Linked DNA regions of Oreochromis niloticus. The protein of the gene in region 1 purifies or fractionates together with the protein of each later gene. This does not show direct contact. Links are inferred from orthologs where the notes say so. Each region holds a gene or a part of one and is shown on either strand. Other genes may lie near its edges.

Region 1 (10,212 bases):
TTTCACTATCATAATGCTATGTAGGGCTGCCACGATTACGTCGACTATCAAAATCGTCGCCGACTAATTTAATAGTTGACGAATCGTTTGACGCTTTGTAAGGTCCCAAAAGATGCAGGAATAAACAGCAGGATTTAAGAGTGTAATAACGGACTGAAACAGAAGATGGCAGCACTGCATGTACAAGGATGCCAGCTGCCGTTAAACGCCAAAGAAGAAGAAGAAGCAGTCTCTGGTATCGTAGCTGTGTCCAAATTCAGGGGCCGCATTTGTAGGCGAAGGCTTTCCAAATTCGAAGACTCCTCCAAACGCGGCAGACAAATGCGTCCTTCATTTCCCCAGATTTGAAGGATGGGTCGGGTGTATCCTTCATGGCCCAACCTATCCCAGAATTCATAGCGTGGCCCAGCCAATTCCAGTTTCCAACAATGGCGGCAGCTACTTAGCTTTAATATTACTCTTATTATTCTTTCTGGGTCACAAAATAAACGTTTAACATATTTTCAGGCGAGAATGTAGCTGTGTAAACTTCAAATATCTGCTCGGTTTATCAAGACATCACATATTTGTAAAAGTGCTCCGATGTTTTCGGAGACGTCTGTTACCCACCAGCTTGATAGCTAGCCGGGGTTCAAGGCTCACTAGAGCCGGCGTGAACAGTGAACTCCCGGCACATCGTTTTCAGTAGCGTTTTCAGTGGGAGAAACGTTTCCTCACTCATCCAAGTGACTTCTTCAGTCTCAGCTGACTGCAGGTTTCCCCAAATCTTATAAACAGTACATTTGCACAATGACTGAAACCAGCCCACTGAAGGAACAATGGGCTGGGAGGTCAGTTCCTTAATCATAATTGCGCAAATTATCATGACCATTGATCAACAACCACTGATCAATGGTCATGAGTACCATTCACAGAGAGTTGGGGAATGGCTGCAATCACAGCATTGTAAGATGGTGACAGATGTACCCTTAGGCCCCCTCCTCGATGCAGAGATGGTCTTTCCCTTGTCACGTAAATGGCCTCCTTGACTCCGCGCTCAAACCAGCGTTCTTCCCTGTCCAGGATGTGTACATCCTCATCATTGAAAGAGTGTCCACTGGCCTGTAGGTGTAAATAAACTGCAGAGTCCTGGCCTGACGAGGTAGCTCTTCTGTGTTGTGCCATCCGCTTCGCTAGAGGTTGTTTGGTTTCCCCGATGTATAAATCCTGGCAATCCTCCTGGCACTTAACAGCGTACACTATGTTACTCTGTTTGTGTCGGGGGACCCGATCCTTGGGGTGGACCAGTTTTTGGCGCAGCGTGTTTTGGGGTTTAAAAGCCACAGAGACCCGGTGTTTAGAAAAAATGCGTCTCAACTGTTCTGATACTCCTGACACATATGGGATCACTACAGGTTTTCGCCTGGGCAGCGGTTGACCTTCTCTCCTGGATCGGCTGGAGCTTCCCAGCTTTGACAAAAGTCCAGCTGGGATAACCACATTTACTCAGGGCCTTCTTGATGTGCTGTCTTCTGCCTCCCTGGCCGCTGTGTCAGTGGGGATGGTGTTCGCTCTGTGTTGTAGCGTCCTGATGACACCCAGTTTGTGCTCCAGTGGATGATGAGAGTCAAACCTTAGATACTGATCCGTATGCGTAGGTTTACGGTACACGTCAGCTTTTAGATGTCCCCCATTACTGATGGAAATCTCACAGTCTAAGAAGGCCAACCTGCCACTTTTCATATCCTCCCTGGTGAATTTGTTGTGTCCGTCCACCAAGTTAATGTGGTCCGTGAAATGTAGTACGTCCTGAGATTTGATTTTCACCCAGGTGTCATCCACATATCTGAACCAATGGCTTGGTGGTGTTCCAGGGTAGGATAGCAACGCCCTCTTTTCCACTTCTTCCATGTACAAATTGGCCACGATGGGTGAAACTGGGGAGCCCATGGCACACCCATGTTTCTGCCTGTAGAACTGACCCTTGTATGTGAAGTAGGTTGAATGAAGACACAGTTCCAAAAGCAAACACACTTGGTCGATGCTGAGAGTGGTCCTGTTGTTGAGGTTGGTGTCATCCTGTAATCTCTTACGGACTACCTCCAACGCTTCCGTGACTGGGATGCAAGTGAAGAGAGATGTAACATTGTACGAGACCATGGTTTCATCTGCCTCCATAATGACATCTCTCACCTTCTCAACAAAATCCAGGGTGTTCTGGATGTGGTGTTCAGAGCTGCCCACCAGCGGGTTGAGGATCGAAGCCAGAAACTTAGAGATGTTATAGGTGACCGAGTTGATCATGCAGACAATCGGTCTTAAAGGTGCAACCTGCTTATGTATTTTCGGTAAACCATACAGACTTGGTGTAGACTCCCCTGGGTACAGCCTGTGGTATGAGGTCCGGTCAATAGCCTTGTCTTGTTCCAACTGCTTCAGACAGTCTATCACCCTCTTCCTGTAGCCACTTCCTGGGTCTTGTTTCAGGGGCTCATAAGTATTTTCATCACTGAGCAGTGACAAAATGTTCTCATGATAGTCTTTCTGGTTTAGCAAAACTGTGCACCTACCCTTGTCTGCCGGTAGGATGATAATGTTGTTGTCATTACTAAGTGATGTGAGTGCCTTCCTCTCCTCCATGGTGATGTTGGATGCTGGGGGCTTTGAATTGCTGAGACAGGCCGAAACTTTCGTCCGTAGTTGCTCTGCTTCCACTTCTGCAAAATTGTTGTTTCGAATTGCTGTTTCTGTGGCTGTGATCAGCTCCACTAGAGGGATTTGTCTCGGTGTGACAGCAAAATTCAACCCTTTAGCAAGGATGTTTTTCTCTGCTTGGGTGAGCTGTCTGTCAGACAAATTCTTCACCCACTTGTCCACATCCTCCATGTCGCATCCTTGTCTCTTCTGGCTGCTGAGGGCACTCTCCGTATTTTGCTGTGGTTTCCAACATACAACAAGTAAGTCAAACTTCCTTTGTTGCCTGGTCTTAGTCTTCTTGTGCTGTGCTAGACGAGCCTTCTCAGTGAAGTCAAACACCTTTTTAAGAGTATTCTCGTCTAGAAGCATTGTCAGTCTCTGTCGGATCCGCTCCTCTTGAGATTTTAGCATGTCGATGGTAAAATTTGTTTGCCTCACCTGTTCATTAAGCAGCTGGTGCTGTGCCTTCTGGAGGATTTTTGTTGCCCGGAAGCCTTTTGCAGACTTTTAGGAGTAATCCTGTTTTGTCAGCATCTGAGGCTGAATCTTCAGTCGGCTGGTTTTAGTCATTATGCAAATGTACTGTTTATAAGATTGGGGAAACCTGCAGTCAGCTGAGACTGAAGAAGTCACTTGGGTAAGTTTCTCCCACTGAAAACGCTACGTCCAGATGAACAGATTCAACCTTTGGAGATTAAAGTGATAGTTTTCCCACAGCTGAATAAACATCACACAGAAAACTGATTAAACAGAAGTGTGAGATGGTAGAATTTACTCCAATGTCCTGTTATATTTTAGATAGCAAGGAGCAGACGCTGAGTTTATTAAACTTCACTGAGACAATCTGCAAATTTCATTAAAGGTTTAATAAACCATCATCTTGTCTTTATTTTTAGTTAGCACATACCTTAAACACTTCAACTATAAGCTACTGATAGTTATATAAGAGCAGATGCATGCTGATGCAATAAGCTGTACATTTTACATCCAATGGATGCATGATCTGATTAGTCGACTAATCGCAAAAATAATCGGTGACTAGTTGACTATCAAAATAATCGTTTGTGGCAGCCTCGTGAAAACCAGAAATACAACAAAGACGAGGCGGGGTGTTCTGCGAATCTATTCTACTCAAATCATCCTACCCAATGTTTCTGCGCATACGCTGCGCATGCGCTCCTGAGGAACCTGGATTCAGAAGAAACGTGACAGGAAACTCCAGACCCGGTTCATGACCTAAAAAGTACTCCTCTGAGACCTGCGGATCTTGGACTAGATTACTACTGAGACTGTGGAGCGGCTTTTATTTGGAAAATATAAAAAATCTAGATTTAATCAGACCAGTTTCAGGTCTAAGAACAGTTTTATTTAATACACTTAATCTATACTCTGGATTAACACCTGGATTAACTAAACACCCCATAGACCAAAGTCCAGACACAAAACCAGGACCCAGAGGCTCATTCGATCTGTTTATAACTCAACAATATCCACAAAAACAAGGAAGTAATGCGTAGTTTCATTTTTTTTCTGTGCAGACAGCACGACACCAGGTTCAGGACCTTCAGCCGGGACTGAAACAGAACCCCGAATACTGAAAGTCACATCAACTCCGTTCACTCCAATGGACCATTAGACCTCATAACAGTTCCTGGAAGTCACTCTATGATGTCTGTTATCGCACTAAGCCTGTATTACATTGGTTTAGAGTGTCCAAACAAATTCATTCAAATCAATCAATATATCATTCTCTGTTTAGCATTAATAACTAATATTTCCCTGTCCGAGCCACCACAGGTGTGCAGAAGCAAAGACTGCACACAACGACATCAGACTAAAGCTGTGGTGTGTTACTCATTTTTCCCTCTTTATTTACATCATGAATTGATTGTGGGAACTAACTGCAAGTTAAAAGAAAACAGAAGCATGTGAAACAGACGAGCCTGCATTAAAACCACTAAAGTGTCCTTTAAAAACCCGCCTGGTGACACCTGAAACCCGTCGCCGTGCAGCGATTTAACAGCTGATTTCTCCACATGCGGTCTGCACGAACCACGTGACAACATCTCCAGCCCTCCCTGAACACAGCTTTAACCTCCTGCAGGAGCAGAGCTCTCCTCACGCCTCTGCTGCTCCGCTCCGACCAGACTCCGTTCACTTTTCTGCCGATTTTAGCCGCCCGCGTTTGGGCTGCAGGATGGAGAAAAAGGGAGCTGCTCCTCTCTTCTCCTCCATCAGTACAACATGACAAACAAACCCGGACTCACCATGAGCTGCTGCAGCTGCTCTGAATTCGCAGAAGAAGAAGGAGAAGGAGGAGAAGAAGAGTCGCTTCTCCGGTTGAAGCTGCAGCCTCTCGCTCGTTTTACAAGCTCACCAAAAATCTGCAAAAATCTCTTTGTGTCCGCATCATTATTGTTTTCCTCTTCTGTAGTTTTGACCGAGGAGCACAAACAAACGGCGGGTGTGTGTCGCCACCTGCTGGAGGGGAGGTTGTGACATTGGAACACGCGTTTGGGTTTTTGGAGGTATCTTTAGGTTTAACCCTGCAGACAAGACCGTGAAGACTGAGAGGTACCAAAGTGCAGGGACCTGCAGTGCCCCCGGTCTGAAGGGTCACACGACACTTTACACGAGAATAAAACTGATTTCTGATCTTTGGACTCCAGTCTGTGAACACAGCAATAACACAGTGAACAGAAGGTTTCTCAGGAGCAATCCTTCCTCAGGTCTGCAGGAGGAAAACAGGCTGTATAAATCATGTGAATGAGCATGCACATGTGTTTGCTGTTTTTAAATGATTAACACCTGTCCCAGCTGCTACTGCCACAGGTATTAATTATTAATTATTAATTTTACGGCTCACTTGTGAGCAGCTTGTGACTGTTTTGGTCTGAAATCTTCTGATGTTGTTTAATAGAAACAATCATTATAAACTCGGCTCTGATGTTTGGAGCTTTCCTTTCTCACCATTGGACTGTTTCATCATGAAGTGCAGTTCTCTTTGCGTCCAGCAGGTGGCAGCAGTGAAGCACATTCAAACCTCCGCGGCAGCTCAATATCTGCTGAAACATCTGGAATTACTCCCGAGTCCTGCAGCAGCTGCAGATTTCGCAAATGCCGACCTCATGAAGCGATTTCTAATGGATTCCAGTTAATTAGCTTTACTTTTCTCTAAAAGTTTCTGCTTGTTTTTATTTTCATTATCAAAACATCTGCTTCGTATTGCTTTTGGTAAACACAGCATCACTTCAGTCATTCATGTGTGTTCAGCAGAGCTTCTGGATGTTTTATATCCTTTATTTTTAAGCATTTTTATACTTTATAATGTCAATAAAAAGTTCCCAGAAAAAGAAATGATTTATTTCTAATTGTAAACATGTTTTAAATTATTATGAACACTTTAATATCTGATTAATAATAATCACTGGAATTTTTTTTTAAAATAATTTCATTACACCAGAAATTACAATCAAACATATATTATTTTATATTATTCAGAACATTTTCATCTGTCATCTGCTGATCGTGTGAGCTCTTCATTTCTACAGAGCTTCTGGAAAATAATACAGAGTTAAACAGGGGCCCAGCAGCTGACTGCTGCCCCGGTGACCCTGAAGAGGAGAAGCCGGCCCTGCTGCATGTGTGTGTGCGTTTATGTGTGTGTTTGTGTGTGTGTGCTTTTAAAGGAAGCGGAGGAGGCGGTGGTCTTCACACACATGTGAACGCTGCACACAGAAAGACAGCAAAGTGTTTATTCAGACGCGGCACGACATAACTGACGAATAAAAAGGAAGAAAGAAAGAAAGAAAGAAGCTGCAGGTGAGAAACTTCTCTTTATTTGTCCGTTTTCTCTCTGCGATTAAGTGACTTCCAGGATTTGATATTTAACAGTTTTTTAAGGTGTTTTAAAGACACCTGCATTTCACTGAAGTGTGTAATAATAACAAAATGGATACGTAAATTTATTTAACATCTCAAACTGAGAAGTCATTTGAAAAAATGTGAAATAAAATATCTCAAACAGCTGAGTAAAGCTGTTGTTTTCCTGATTTACATCACAAATTAAACAGCGAATGCATCATTAAGGCAAAACAGAAGCCGGCTTTGGGCTCTTTATGTGTATGAATGTTTGCAGCGTTCAGGTGACGCCTCCTGCAGACTCACCTGTTAGAAACATAACTGTACCTGAAGCTGGGAGCTAGGATGAACTCATACTGACATAATCCATAATTATTAACCTTCAGATGATACTTGAGCAACTAAAATGACTGAGTGTGGTCATCGATGTCTCCACTATATTTTATACAGGTATATAATTGTAAAGGCTCTTTAAAAGTGTTTCTCATGCCCGTATAAGTTCCCTTCATCTATGACCGACACTCTGAAAAATTTCTGAAATGTTGTTTATCGCAGTTTTTCGACTCATTTCCACGAGCTGAGCAGTTTCACTCTGGGTCTCGGTGTGTTAGCCATGGTTCACTGCAGAACATCACAGTGTTCTGATTAGAAGTGGAAAAGTAAACTCAAAGCTTATAATGGTATTTTTTTAAACAGATTTCACATAACCTATCCTTATCTTTACCACACGAGTGACCACATTTCCGTAAAGACATCTATAACAAGTTGTGGGAGGCGTTGAATCCAGCTCTCAAAGGGTTGATGATTTTGGATTACACTCACCGCTGTTACGCCGTGTTGTTTAAACGATGTATGTCAGCAGAGATTTTCAACTTCAGTGTTTCATTCATTGAGCTCTGATGTGAAACTGTGAGCAGCCAGCGTGATATCATGTTGTTGTGTTTGGATGGGTGGTGCAGTGGTTGGCCTCACAGCATGCAGGTCCTGGGTTAAAAACCAGCGGCTGGGGCCTTCTTCTCGTGTCTGTGTGGCTTCTCTCCAGCTTCCTCCCTCAGACACGCGTGTTCAGTTAACTGGTGAATCTAAATTGGCCAGAGGTTCTAATGTGAGGGGAAGGATTGTCTGTCTCTTGGTGTTAAACTGCCGCCCTGTCCAGGGTGTATACCCGCTCACTCTGTGACAGCTGGGACAGGCTCCAAGAGGTGAAGAGAGTAGACGGGTGGATGTTTATATTACAGATATGATGATACTGTAAATATTTGTGTGATTGTTCTCTTGGTATCTGGTTGCAGAGTTTCCACCTCCTTACAGTCATAAAGGAGTTTCACTGATATTCATAATAATTGTGAGGTGAGAGTCTGATGCTGTCTCCAGCCTCGTCGCTGATCATGCAGTCTTTTGATTATTAGCAGAGCGGGACTTTCCCACCATCCATCAGAGCCACATTCATATTCACATCATGGCTGGACTGAAGGCTTTAAGCACTCAGTGCATGCCTGGATCATTGAGTTACAGACCACTGCACACGGATGTTTCATGCTCCACAGCCAATCTTTTGATTTCTTTAGTAATTTAACACACACACACACACACACACACACACACACACACACACACAAGCTCGAAATCATTACAGAGAGCGCTGGACCTCATGGGAAAATCAGAGAAAACCCACAAAGAGGCTAAAAATATCTGCTGATAAATGATGCAGCTCAAGCTTATTTAAGATGCTTTTTATAAAGTTAATATTTTGTTTAATGCTAGTGTCCTTTTCCCATCTCTCACTCTTCTCCTCCTCCTCCTCTGTCTCCCCGATAATCCTCGCCTCCTTTTTCTCCTTTTGCAACACAAAAAGTTTTAAAAAAAAATTACAGGTGTAGGATTTACCCCGAAGAGAAAATTCTGCCATTGTTTCTTAAAGATTCATCTTTTTTCTGTGCAATAAAAAATAAGATAAAAGCTCATAAATAAATAGAACAGAATAGAGTTTATTTTGAACATGTAAATATAACTAAAATAACCAGAAAAACAAAGTAAAGACATCCAGTGGTCATGAATATCTCTACATCCAAACAATGTTTGTGCTCTTAATGGAGCAGGATGAAGTTTACACCTGTTTGTTTCTACCTCCTTATTTCAAATTCTATAATTTGCAAATTAATGATCAGAGTTCGACATATAATCTCACAATACACATGTTTAACTACATACAAGTCTACACTCATATACGGTACATACATAAAACTATTTAAGTTCAAAAACCAAAACAAGAAACAACATTTTTACGTTGCTAACCACCCTGTGATCAACACCCCACTAAATCTCTGTGCCTCGTGAAAATAACCTCTTTTATATTTGTTTTATATGGCGTTGTATCTATGTGACAAATACCTTAATGAATACTCTAAGCCTCGGTTACTCTCGCCTTGATCTATAAAAATGAAGACGAGGCTTCAACAGAACACAGAGCAGCTGATTTACTCTTACAGCAGGAATCTTAATCCCTTCACATCCACCTCACTTTTTCTCTATAAAAAGACTAAAAGCTCGGCAGGATTTAGACTTTTATGGTGAAAACAGTGTTTGGAAAGCAGGAAGACATTCAAGAAGCTTGTGATGACAGGAAAGGTCAGCTCTCCCAGTAAAGCTGCTGTGGCAATGTTCAAACTGCTGGGATGGTCAAATTCAAAGTACACCCGGGGAAATCAGCTGATTTTTTAAATTTTTTTGTGTATTTGTTTGTTTTTTCATGTTTGTTGAAGACATTGTGGGGCGACCGTGGCTCAGGGGATTGGGAAGTTCATCTGTAACCGGAAGGTTGCCGGTTCTATCCCCCTGCTCTCTCTGTCCTGGTCGTTGTGTCCTTGGGCAAGACACTTTACCCTACAGCAGGGGTGTCAAACTCAAATACACAGTGGGCCAAAATTCAAAACTGGAACAAAGTCGTGGGCTAACATTAATATTTATTGAAAAAAAAAATCTTCCTCCAGATATAAGAATGAATCTTTTCTTATGGACTCAAACAAGTTTTGCTGAAAAACTGAATATGGAACAAGCAAAGCTTAATACTAAACGATATATATATTAGCTGTATAATACCAGTAGGCCAGCTCTAATAGTAATTTGGCATGGCTTCGCGGGCCAAATTTGGCCCGCGGGCCAGAGTTTGACACCTATGCCCTACAGCCTACTGGTGTTGGCCAGAGGGGCCGATGGCGCGATATGGCAGCCTCGCTTCTGTCAGTCTGCCCCAGGGCAGCTGTGGCTACAACTGTAGCTGCCTCCACCAGTGTGTGAATGTGAGAGTGAATGAATAGTGGAATTGTAAAGCACTTTGGATGCCTAGAAAAGCGCTATATAAATGCAATCCATTATTATTATTATTCAAACTTTTACCTTCATAAAGTCGCAGCCTGAGGAGAGAGGCCACTGCAGAGAATCATGGGACGTTTCATGTTGATGTTAATGTGTTAAGTTACAGCGTCAATGCCCATATTGTGGTTATGTTGTGTTGTTGTTCATTTATGATGTGAACTGCTGTGTTTTCTTGCTTCTGGTTGGGTTGAATGTGTCTAGTGAGGGCAGCCATGACTGAGGCTGTGACAATTAATGACCTCTGGTCACTTTTCCTGCTTCTTCATGTTCGTTACTGCTAACACACCTGCAATCTTGGAC
Region 2 (10,818 bases), on another chromosome or scaffold:
AAGATTTTCAACTTTAAGAGACAGCGTCATGTTTATATATCCCTTCATTTATACCGATTTGAAGTGTTTCAGAGGTGTGCCCCGTTAATCTTTGGAAAGGCAGCTTACAGTGCTGGGTGTGACAGGTTACAGTCACACATCAGAACTTTGTTAATAAATTCAGAAAGCTGTAATGAGTGAAAAGTGACACGGGAGCTCTTCTTACCTCTGGAAAATCACCTTTGGCATAAACCATCAGAAGAGATGTTTTCCCGCAGCCTCCATCTCCCACAATTACAATTTTAAGTTCATCTCCCTTTTTCTTGGTGCCGTTCCCGGCACCGTTTTGTGTCATCTCGCCTCCAAAGTGTCACGCAGGTGCTCCCTCCAGATTTAACTTAAATACATGACACAGCCTAGCGAGTCTATTTTTTGAAGGGTTGAGATGATTTACAGGGAGTGTCAGGCAGAGTGAGGAACAGCCAAGCCTCATGTTTTACCAGGTAGCTCACTCTGCTCACCACTTCCTGTTCCTGTCACACTGTCTGCCTCCAATTGACCCCCCACTTCTCTCCTCTCCTATTATGAGCCTGTTCACTGAAAGCATGCCGCTCTCTCGCTAAATTACACATGTGAAGCGACTGAGTCTGGCTGCTCCTACTTCCTCTACCGCAATGTGTTTGCGTATTTCATTTTCTGGGTGGGTACTCAGTCTGAAGCACTACCCCCACTGACCGCGTGGCGTGTGTGTGTGTGTGCGAGGGATAACACTGAGAAATGCTCACTTTTCACGCTGATCCTACTGATGCAGGATCAGCAGGTTTTTGTTGACGCTGACAGCTGTCACTACAGAGGTTTCTAGACTCCTGCCTGTGGAGGTGTGAAGCATTGTCTTGGTGAGACTGAGTGGGTCACTGGGTGCACCCATCTAAATGTGAGCTTTTTCCAGGTAAAAAGCCTGTTTTGGTTATCTTTTCCACTTTCAGGCTCAAAAGATATATCAGTTGGAACCTTAAGGAAGCATGCAAGCAGCTTCCAGGTAGAATATTTAATATATCTGAGGAGAAAACAGAGCAACTGAGAACCAGCGCTTCCAGATTAGACAAAAATAACTGTATATTACTTTAAAATTAAAGTGTTTTCTGTACCATGTGATCGTTTTGAGTCCTCAGCAGGATGTGAGTAATGCTTCTCTGCTGTGACATCACAGATGGTACCATCAGGACAAACTATTTTCTCTCTTCCCAGGGTGCAGTTTATGGATGTGGGGTTTTTTGGTCTTTTTTTACAATGTGATGAATCTTTTCAAGGGCGTGAGGATTTTTTTAAAGTTTATTTTTGTATTTTTCAGTGTTTTGGGTGTATTATCTTGTCACAGGGGTGAGTGTTACAAACTAGAGCTAAACACTGATGTGGCTAGATATTAAAAGACACACACAGCAGAAAGTGTGAGAAAGCAGGTTTGGGAACGTGTTTCATTGGCAGTGTAGATGACTGGTTATCAGTGACTGTGGGTGTCGGGAGAGAGCAGATCACAGGGAACAACCGTATATGATCACAAAACGCCAAACACTGCATTTCCCCTGCCATAAAGGCACTTCAACATGCTGATGTAGACTAAAAAGTCAAATTAAACCCACGGGTGTTTAATGATATGGTTAGCTGGATCATGGAAGTGCTGAAAATGTGAGCAACCTGTCCCTTTAAGAGAAAAAGCTGACACCCTTCCTCCATTTCAAAAATGTAATTCTTAAAACGTGAATAAATTGGCACAAAATAAACGTGTTTCTACTCAAAATTCCTCCAGTAATCTCACCCCACAGCATGTGAAACATCCCGTATATTGTGTCATCACAGCTAAGACACAGTTTTAAGGATGGGCCCAAAAATTCAACAAAGTCTCCTTTTAGTTTCCATAACAAGAAAACAATAAAATTAATGCATAGTCTATTTATTTCATCATCTCACAAACACACACGCACACACACAGACAGACAAGAGGCAATAAAACTTGCAATGAGAGTATGTTACAGATCATTATGTGGAATAGTACAGCAATACACTACACATGCAAATATTTAAGAGCTAAGAAGAAGAAATCTGGCTTGGTTGGTTTTTTTTGGTTGTTTTTTTTTACAGTACCAAGCAATCTCTGCAGGGGGACGAGGGGAAAAAATCCTTGAAAAAGCCAACTGTGCCCATAAATAATGAAAAACACGACTCCGAGGAATGCTTGATTTGATTCAGTCCGTCAGGATTTAAAGCTGAAAGTACAAAAGCCATAAAAAAAATAGACACAGCACTGTACCTGTCAGTTTGGTACAGTATTTAGCGCAATAAATTTTAAAAGAAATATGTTGAATAAGTAATTTTTTTTAAAAGTGCTTGATTGACTTACAAGGTGTAACTGGCAGTATAACATATGGCTTAAAAGGATATTAAATTGTTCTTACATATCCACACGCATACAGCCCATTTTCATCAGTTAATAAACAAAGAACAATTGTTAAAATATTATCACTCCGAAGAGAAAGAGACAGCTGTCCTGCAGGGGAAAAAGGCCAGTCCTCTCTGTGTGGAATATTCCAGACTGTCAGCGGCAGCGCTGAACGGGCACAACCCACTCGGGAAGCTTTTTTTTTTTTTTTTTTTTTTTTTTTAAACAAAAGAAAAAAGAAAAAACAAAAGGCCTATAAGTAACCCAATTGGTGTGGATTTCATCGCAAATCCATCTCCAAAGTAATGTCACATTTTCACTTTTTTGTTGTTTGTTTTAAACGCATCCATAAAACCCTCTACATAGCTGTAACCGTGGGCTGGCTGTGAGCAAGGAGAAGCTTAACATAGAGAGAGAGAGAGGGGGGAAGGGTATTGAAGCCCTGTGACCTGAATGCGCGCACCCGGCAGCTTAGAGCCGGCAGTTGATAACAAGAAAAACAGGCCTCTGACACGCACACTGACACAGACAGTGAAAGACTGCACCATTTAACTAAAGAGGTGTATCTAGAGACCCTCCCGCGCCCCATCCATTTTACGTACGTGAATAAAGACCCTCCCCTTCTGTATATTTAACTCCTTCACCGAAAAAAAGAGGTTCATATCTTGTTTGTCTAATCTGGTAAAGCAGCCGTTGATCCGCTGGACTTTGAAGCGAGAGCTCACGCGCACGCTGCGTGCTATTTTCGCCTAGATACCAAACAACAGAGCTGCCGCTGCAGTGGATTCTTCGTGACCTTATATGGCAACGGTGTGTAGGAGGGGGGGAGGGGGTTCCAACGAATGCGCTCGAGCTCTCGGCGCGAGTCAGCCTAGCAACCGACCGCCTGACTACGCCGGTTTTATGAAAGTTTCCTTCCTCACACGCAGTTGTCGTCTTTTTCTTCTCTTTTTATATTCGTGTAAAAACAGCCACCAATTTGGATTAAATAAATAAAAAATAATCACCCCCCAGTGGCGCTTCGTGTGGTTACTTCCTGCTGAAATTACCCTCGGATTAAAAAAAAAAGGAAAAAAGAGCCGCTCTCTTGAGCCTCACCCAGTTATGGCGCAGCAGCTTTTTCACGGCACAGTGCTCTCCTTTGTCTGTAAAGAAGCCATTTTGAGACAGAGAACAGCAGAGAAAACCACTGAACAAGTGTTGCCTACATACCACTAAAAAGGTCTCTGTTTGGAGAGGGGGAAGCAGTTTAAAAAACACAAGATTTCTTCCCATAAGATTCTTTTTTTGTGGCTCGTTTAAGACTTGGATTACATGTTTTGAATACTGCCTGTAAGTTTGCAATATCATTAAAAATGTGGGTTACAATTACTCCTTTTTCCCTTTTTTAACAATTACGCTGAAGTCATTTTGTATCAACTATTTCTTTGATGTGTGCTCTCTTATTAATGTAGACATATAAAGCTGGCAAATTGAGTGAAATAGCTCAAAAATCCATTACCTGTCCAAAACATTATCCTTGCAGTTTTAAGTGAAGTGTAGATCAGCTAGAAATGTCGAAAAAAAAGCAAGAGAGGCTATTATCGACTGCAATCCTGTCTTCAGGGAGAGAGAAGAGATGGTTTTGCATATTGCCCACACAGATGATGCTTGAAGATGCATATTCGCTGGCTGAGAGAGGCAAAGCTACCACTGATCAAAAAAAAAAGTTCTCAAAAGAGCTCTCTTTTCGTGCTAATGGATTCCTTCCTTTTCAGGAGACGCATTCCCACCCCTTATTAATGCCATTATTAGAGGATCCGAAGATGGAGCTGAAAACATTCCTCCTGCCCCTGCGTTTAGGCCTGTTAACTGCTGAGGTAAATATTTTCACCCTGAAAGTTTTCCCTCCATCTCTTTAATCTGAGGTTGTGTTTTTAAAAGAAAAAAAAATCGCTGTAGAAGCTGTTAAAAAAATAAATAATTAAAAATGGTGGTGGTGAAGGGGGACTTCCTAAGTGGGCTTCTTTCTAAATTTAAATTATGCCCTTGAAGCAAGGTCAAGTCGACAATTGCACATTTGGCTCTTTCTTAGGTGGACAGCACAAACCTAGTCGATTCAAGCTGTCTCCACAGTTGCAGTACAGGGCACAACAGGAGACACCAGGGTGTTTAAAGCGTTGCTGTTGTGAGAGGAAAAGTGGGAGAAGTTGTTAATCAGAGCAAATGGATTATCAGTCAACAAACTATTTAACAAGTGGCCATTAGGTCTCCGTGGCCTGCTCCTCAGTCATCTGAGGAGCACTGATGCTACAAACCCTGCACCTCTAGCAGTGTATGTTTTAATGTCAGCATGCCAGTGGACATATTTTTTTTTTAAACAAAGCTGCAGCATTTTTATGTGATCACATAGCTCAAGTAGACAAAAGTGACAGACATACTTTTAATAACAGTAACTGCATGCCTCACATTTTACATTAATTAGTTAAATTTAAAAATAAATTATGATAAAAGACTTGAACTTACTCATTGCAACTCATATCCTACAAGGCCATAAGTGCAATGCCAGCAAGCTGCCATTGCACATTTTGTCACTTTGTGTTTTTTTTCCCCCACCCCAACCTCTATCATTTTAAACATCTCCAAAAGCATAAAGCTGTTTATTCACAACACTTTTGGTTTCTTTTCACTTAAGAAATATAAATACTGGTATATGGGTGTGCCATGACCTAGTTAAGACAAAGATGGATTCCAAGGCAGAGGAAAAAAGGCTCAAAATGTCACGGGGTAATTGCATCCAGCACATTCTCTTCCTTCTTCTCAATCCTTTAAAAGGAGCAATCATAGTTTTATCATAGTCCGTGAGAGATGAGGAAATCAAATGTAAGATCCCTTTGGAACAAAGGAAACCCATATAGGCCATTGAGTCCTGTTTAAGGAAAATGGCTGCCGAGAGCGCTCAGCCCCCTCTCTCTGCTCTCTGTTGAAGGACTCCTGAGCCGTGCCTCTAATAGCAGACGGCTCCTCTGCTGCTGCGCTCTGATTGGCTCGTCGAGCTACCGCTGTTAACCAGCCAATTGCCCGAGCACTGCAAACAGCACCAGGCAATGTCAAACAAAACCCAGCTTGTCCGATAGAAACGCACCTCCACTGAATTAATTCACAAACTAAGAGAAGCACAGTCAGGTTTATTATTATATAAATAAAAGCGCCACCGTTTTTTTTAAAATGCTAGCATAACATTAATAATTTTTTTAAAAAAAGAGGACAAATGGGGAACATACGCGACGGTTTGGCACTAGTTTGTTGCTGTAACCGCCGCGTTCCAACGGTTATATAGCCGGGTAGCGAAATCGCGCTGCCAGCCAAGCGAGTGTTCGTATTAAAATTCCAATTCCCGTGTTTGACATTTTTATATTAGCCGCCATCACCAGTCGCCGTAATGACTCTTTTACCCTAAAATATCAACCGACATGTCCTGAATTTACAAACGGCCGCAATACCGCACAGAAAAGCTCGCCACCAAAGCAGTTTTATTAGCCCTTTAGTGGCAGTTAAGAAGATATTACCCCCTGTGTCTGCCTTGTGTTTGCCAGTTAGGTAAATACAGCCGGTAGATTCAACACTATATGTCGTTTAGAGGATTTTTGAGACACTAAACTATCGCCAGACCTCATTCAGTCGCGGATATAAATGGGAGCGTTTCTTTGTGGCCCGCCTAAAAACACTTTTATTTTATTGTAAGGCTAATGCAGCGTTAAATAAGCTGCGGCCATGGAGGCAAGTTTGTAACGAAAGTGCCGTTGGAGGTGGGCAAGCCTAGCGGTGTATTGTGGGAGAGACAAGCAGCTACAGACCAGAGGCACACAATATGTGTTGGCTCTCGCCGAAAAGGAGGCAGTATTCTTTAAGCTAAATCATGTAATGTAAGCGGCGAAAGGAAAGCGATTTCGTCTTTTCATCAATTAAAAAGAAAACAACACTCGATCGGACGAACCATGTCCAAGCCAGGGGAGAGGAACAGATTGAACGAAGACCATGGCAGAAAGCAGAGTTCAAGTAAGCTTGTTCTTTTTTCCTCTTTCTCCAGCCCTCCTAATGCCTGTTTTCCCTAAGTGGGATATACGCTAGATCCCATTTTTCGCTCTCGCTTGGGGTTACCCCCGCCACCGAAGTCATGCATCTGTAACGTTTGGCTGTTTTAAAGTGTTGGAGGAGGTGGAAAGGGGGGAGGTTTTGCTGGTAGGAGAACCGTGCTTAGCGCTTGGCTCCCGATAACGTTAGCTCTCCTCTCCTTGTCGCTGCCTGTCGTTTCAGGTTTGGCGAACGGCATGGACAGTCATCCCGTCTGCGGCTCGGCGGAGAAGCGGAGTCACCACTGGAGAAGTTACAAGTTGATAATCGACCCGGCGCTAAAGAAGGGATCTCACAAGCTGTATCGCTACGATGGACAGACTTTCAGCATGCCCGTAAGTGCCGCATTTGACGCGGCGGAGCGGCTACAATAGTAACCGAGTAGCCGACCTCCATGATAGGTTACAATGTGGCTGTGCTGGCCGTGGGTCGGTCACGGGCACGTTCAGCATCTTGAACACGGTGCCCGGAGGTGTTCGTGTTGATTCACCGACGCAGGACAACTTTGCAACAAGTTAGTAGCGTGTGGAGCTGTGAATGGGATGGATAACGGCATTGTGTGTGTGTGTGTGTCTCTCCCCCCTCTTCTCCCACAGAACCCCGGGATACCACCGGTGGACATCGTCAGAGACCCCAGGATCGGTCGTCTGTGGACTAAGTACAAAGAGACGGATCTGCCGGTGCCAAAATTTAAGGTATCCACTCTGGCTTGAAGATCGATGCCACACTTTTCCTTGCGGATACGGGGTGCTGTCAAAAGTTGCAGACACACCCCCCTCTCACTCATCTCCGGGATGCGAAGTGAAAATGTGCCTGTCGGGGACCAAAATAATACGCTCTGCTCTGATGCTTGCCTGCATTTACGGACTCGACCGAGTGCATCAACGCGATCTTTGAAACTTCTCCTAGCAGTTGTTATCTCAGCTGTCAGAAATGACCCTCCACACACGCGGTGCAACATTAACTCCTGTCATTCTTCTTCCAGATCGATGAGTGTTACATCGGCCCCGTGCCTCCAAAGGAGGTGACTTTCGCCAGGCTCAACGACAACATCAAGGAAACATTTCTTACCGAGATGTGCAAAAAATTCGGAGAAATCGAGGAGGTCGAGATCCTGTACAATCCGAAGAACAAGAAGCACCTGGGAATAGCCAAAGTTGTTTTCGAGAGTGTGAAAGCCGCCAAAGTGGCCGTGCAGTCGCTTCACAACACGTCTGTTATGGGAAACATCATCCACGTGGAGCTGGACCCGAAAGGTAAACAAGAGCTTGAGCTTGCTTTAAAAAAAGGAAAAAAAAAAATCAGAATCATATGTGTTATAAGAATCGGGAGCACAAAAATATGACAAGTTAAGTGTTTCCTTTAGGGTGACAGCGTTCACGTGTGCACATTTACGTGCGTTGCCTGGTTACGTGGATAATTGAATTCATTCATTGAATATAAGCCTGCTCCCACAAGCCCAGAGCTGACGGTGCTGTGCACTCCCACTGTGCATAATTTCAGACCTGCAAACAAACACAAGCCAATCTGTCCGAGTCCTCTGTATTTTAAATAGTTTGCATTTAACTTAAAACTAAGAAAAGAAGTTAGTTTTTCAGTTGTTAACACTGTTTGAATTCCATGTCCATGCATGTTCTGTCTTGTTATGTTTTTTACTGATGCAAAACAGCAACTTGAATGCATCTAAAGATACCACTTTAGCAGTTTTGCTTATTATTTAATGATGTAAATATTGGCAAATATTTTGACTCAGAGCTTGCACTGTTTTCATTGTCCGTAGTAATGTCTATATCTTAAAGTATTACCCCAAATTGATGCATTTTTTCCCTAAGTGTGATTGATGTCCTTTTAAGAAGTGCAGTTAGGGTTTGCTTTTTTTAACAATATGCTAAAGGCATGCATGCTTTTTTTAAAATTAAAATATGCTGATCAGTGGTATTTATCCCAGAACATAATGACATGTCGCTGCTTTAAAATATTTAGTTTGGAGTTCAGCTACTGGAGAATAATCACTGTCACTTAAATGATGCCCGATGAGGTCTGTTGGCTTTGTAAACCTGGCATCAGACCCAGACATGTTTACTGTTCTGCAGGTGAGAATCGCCTGAGGTACTTCCAGCTCCTGATGAATGGCAGCTACACTCCACGGACGCTGCCTGTTGGTGGAGAGGAGGCCAGAGAAGTTTCCCCTCGAAGCCTGGCAGAAGCCTTACTGGTAAAAAAACAAAAAGAAATAAAGCTTAGGTTGTGCAGTTTAGAGTTAAATAGTAATTCAGTAGTAGTTTTGTGCTCATTTGTTGAAGGTCAGTTTGGAGGAACTGTTGCACACTCTTGTGTAGATGCTTTATTGTGCTTTGTAGAAATGGTTCAAGATACACCTGAGCAGGAGCTCAACTTAAAGTCAGTCAAACCTGTGGCTTTGTGTCTTGAGATGTCCTCACACTGCTGAGCTACCAGCTTGCTATTTTGATTTTAAAAAATCTTAGTTGCTTCAGTTCTTTGAGAAACTGATTTAAAGAATCTTCTTGAACCTAAAGATTTTCTCGACAAAATGCCCAAATTAGAATTTGCCTCTAACAATTTCATATTTGTGTCCTCTAAGGCTTGCGAGCCCATCCGCAGGTTATCAGAGAGCGGCGTGTCTGCTGGGGGAGGAACATTGCCACCCAGCAGTTCCTCCACCCCCCTGACCTTGGAGACCGGCTACTCCAGCCTAAGGCAGGATACGCCACAATCCCAGGGAACCCCTCATACCCCTCGCCAGGCTGGTACGCCCTTCTCTCAGGACTCTAGTTATTCCAGTCGGCAGTCCACGCCTGCCTACCAATCCAGCCGTCCTGAGAGCTCCGGAGGTTACAAATCTCGCCGACACGAGAGTAAATTTCAGGATGCGTACAACCGGAGACCGGAGAGGCCTCAGTATCGCAGCAACATGTATCGAAGTACGCCTGAGCAGCCTCCTTTCAAACAGCACCAGCTCACACCACCTGAACCTCCACCTTCCACCACTTCTTTCAACTACACAGCGCCTCCCCCCGCTACACCGAACTTCAAGTCTGCTTTCTCACCCTACCAGCCCCCTTTGCCCCCTGCGTTCCCTCCAGCAGAACCAGCTTTCCATCACCCAGCCCAAAGGGAGGGTGAATACCTCCGACCGCCAGAGCCGCCTCTGACGGCTGCTGTTGACTTTTTGCCCGCCAAGGAGCGACCACAGACTCCTCCGATCCCAGAGCCTCCGCCACCAGAGCCCGCTCCTCATCCAACCACCCCTCCTCCTCAAACGCCAGAGCACTGCCCTTCACCCGGTTCCCCCATTCTGGATCCAGAGCGGAACAGCCTGGATTCTCGCATTGAGATGCTGCTCAAGGAGAAAAGGACAAAACTGCTGCCGTTCCTGGACGAGCGGGACTCGGACAACGAGGTGCGAATGGAGGGAAGTCCGATTTCCTCCTCGTCCTCGCAGCTATCCCCAATCCCCCCTTACACAGGCGGCTCTCAAGGTGGTCAGCAAAATTCCCGTCCCTCCAGCACAGGTTTGGAGGACATCAGCCCCACGCCACTGCCGGACTCGGAAGATGAAGAGCCAATTCCCGGGACTGCCTCACTGATCAAGAGAATCAGCTCTCCTGTCCACGAGAAAGAGAAAGAAGGATCTTTTGGAGGCCACTCTCCCGCTGAAAAAATGGACACGGTAAAGCAAATATTTGTTTTTTTAATACCCTGATATTTGTGTCCAAATAGCGCCATATTTACCCGCATGCTTGTCACATTTGACAAGAAACAGCGCACAGGTGTGTGCAGATGCTGCTTCAATTACCTCTCATTAATGGCACTGATTAAGTTGATGGAAGCGCGGTGCTGATGTTTACGCGCAGCTGTGAATGACAGTTACACAGAGGACACAGGAAGTCGGGTCTAGTTTCAGTGTGCGGCGGTAGTAGTAAACCTTCCCTTTTGTTTCATTCTTTTTGTTCTGCTTTGTAAAGGAAATTCCGGTTTCACAGCAAACCATGCTTTAAAAAGAAAATAGGGGCCATACCAAAAAGGTGTTTGCTCCTCCAGTTTACCACTGGCACTTTTATTTATTTATTTTTCTGCAAATGAAAAATTAAGAGTAAAGCACCTGTAACCTTCTGATGAAGCGTGTTTGTTTGCCTCATGTGCGCACAAGCACTCCTTGTAAGGCGCAGGTAAAAGAGTTGCAGTAAGTTATGAATGAAAAGCTTTCGGTGCAGCCTTACAAGTGCCTTCGCATTCATGGGAAGACAAACCACCTCTCTTTGTTTTAA

Evidence for each region. The genes of interacting proteins can lie anywhere in the genome.
Region 2: the proteins of cxxc1a (region 1) and setd1ba purify together in Homo sapiens (affinity purification with mass spectrometry; 11 studies listed by BioGRID and IntAct, counting the BioPlex papers as one, with this or other methods). This does not show direct contact. The link is inferred for Oreochromis niloticus from reciprocal best matches to the Homo sapiens genes CXXC1 and SETD1B.

Annotation. Positions count from the first base shown.
Region 1 is NC_031984.2:4,924,601-4,934,812, forward strand, and holds the start of cxxc1a (CXXC-type zinc finger protein 1a), read right to left. Parts: upstream 5,208-10,212; 5' UTR 4,947-5,207; coding exon 4,944-4,946; intron 1-4,943. UniProt on the Homo sapiens protein: Transcriptional activator that exhibits a unique DNA binding specificity for CpG unmethylated motifs with a preference for CpGG.
Region 2 is NC_031972.2:22,365,953-22,376,770, reverse strand, and holds the start of setd1ba (histone-lysine N-methyltransferase SETD1B-A), read left to right. Parts: upstream 1-5,504; 5' UTR 5,505-6,393; coding exon 6,394-6,454; intron 6,455-6,712; coding exon 6,713-6,864; intron 6,865-7,125; coding exon 7,126-7,224; intron 7,225-7,514; coding exon 7,515-7,785; intron 7,786-8,622; coding exon 8,623-8,744; intron 8,745-9,131; coding exon 9,132-10,220; intron 10,221-10,818. Other genes in the region: rho-related GTP-binding protein RhoF, read right to left, coding at 3,515-3,766. UniProt on the Homo sapiens protein: Histone methyltransferase that catalyzes methyl group transfer from S-adenosyl-L-methionine to the epsilon-amino group of 'Lys-4' of histone H3 (H3K4) via a non-processive mechanism.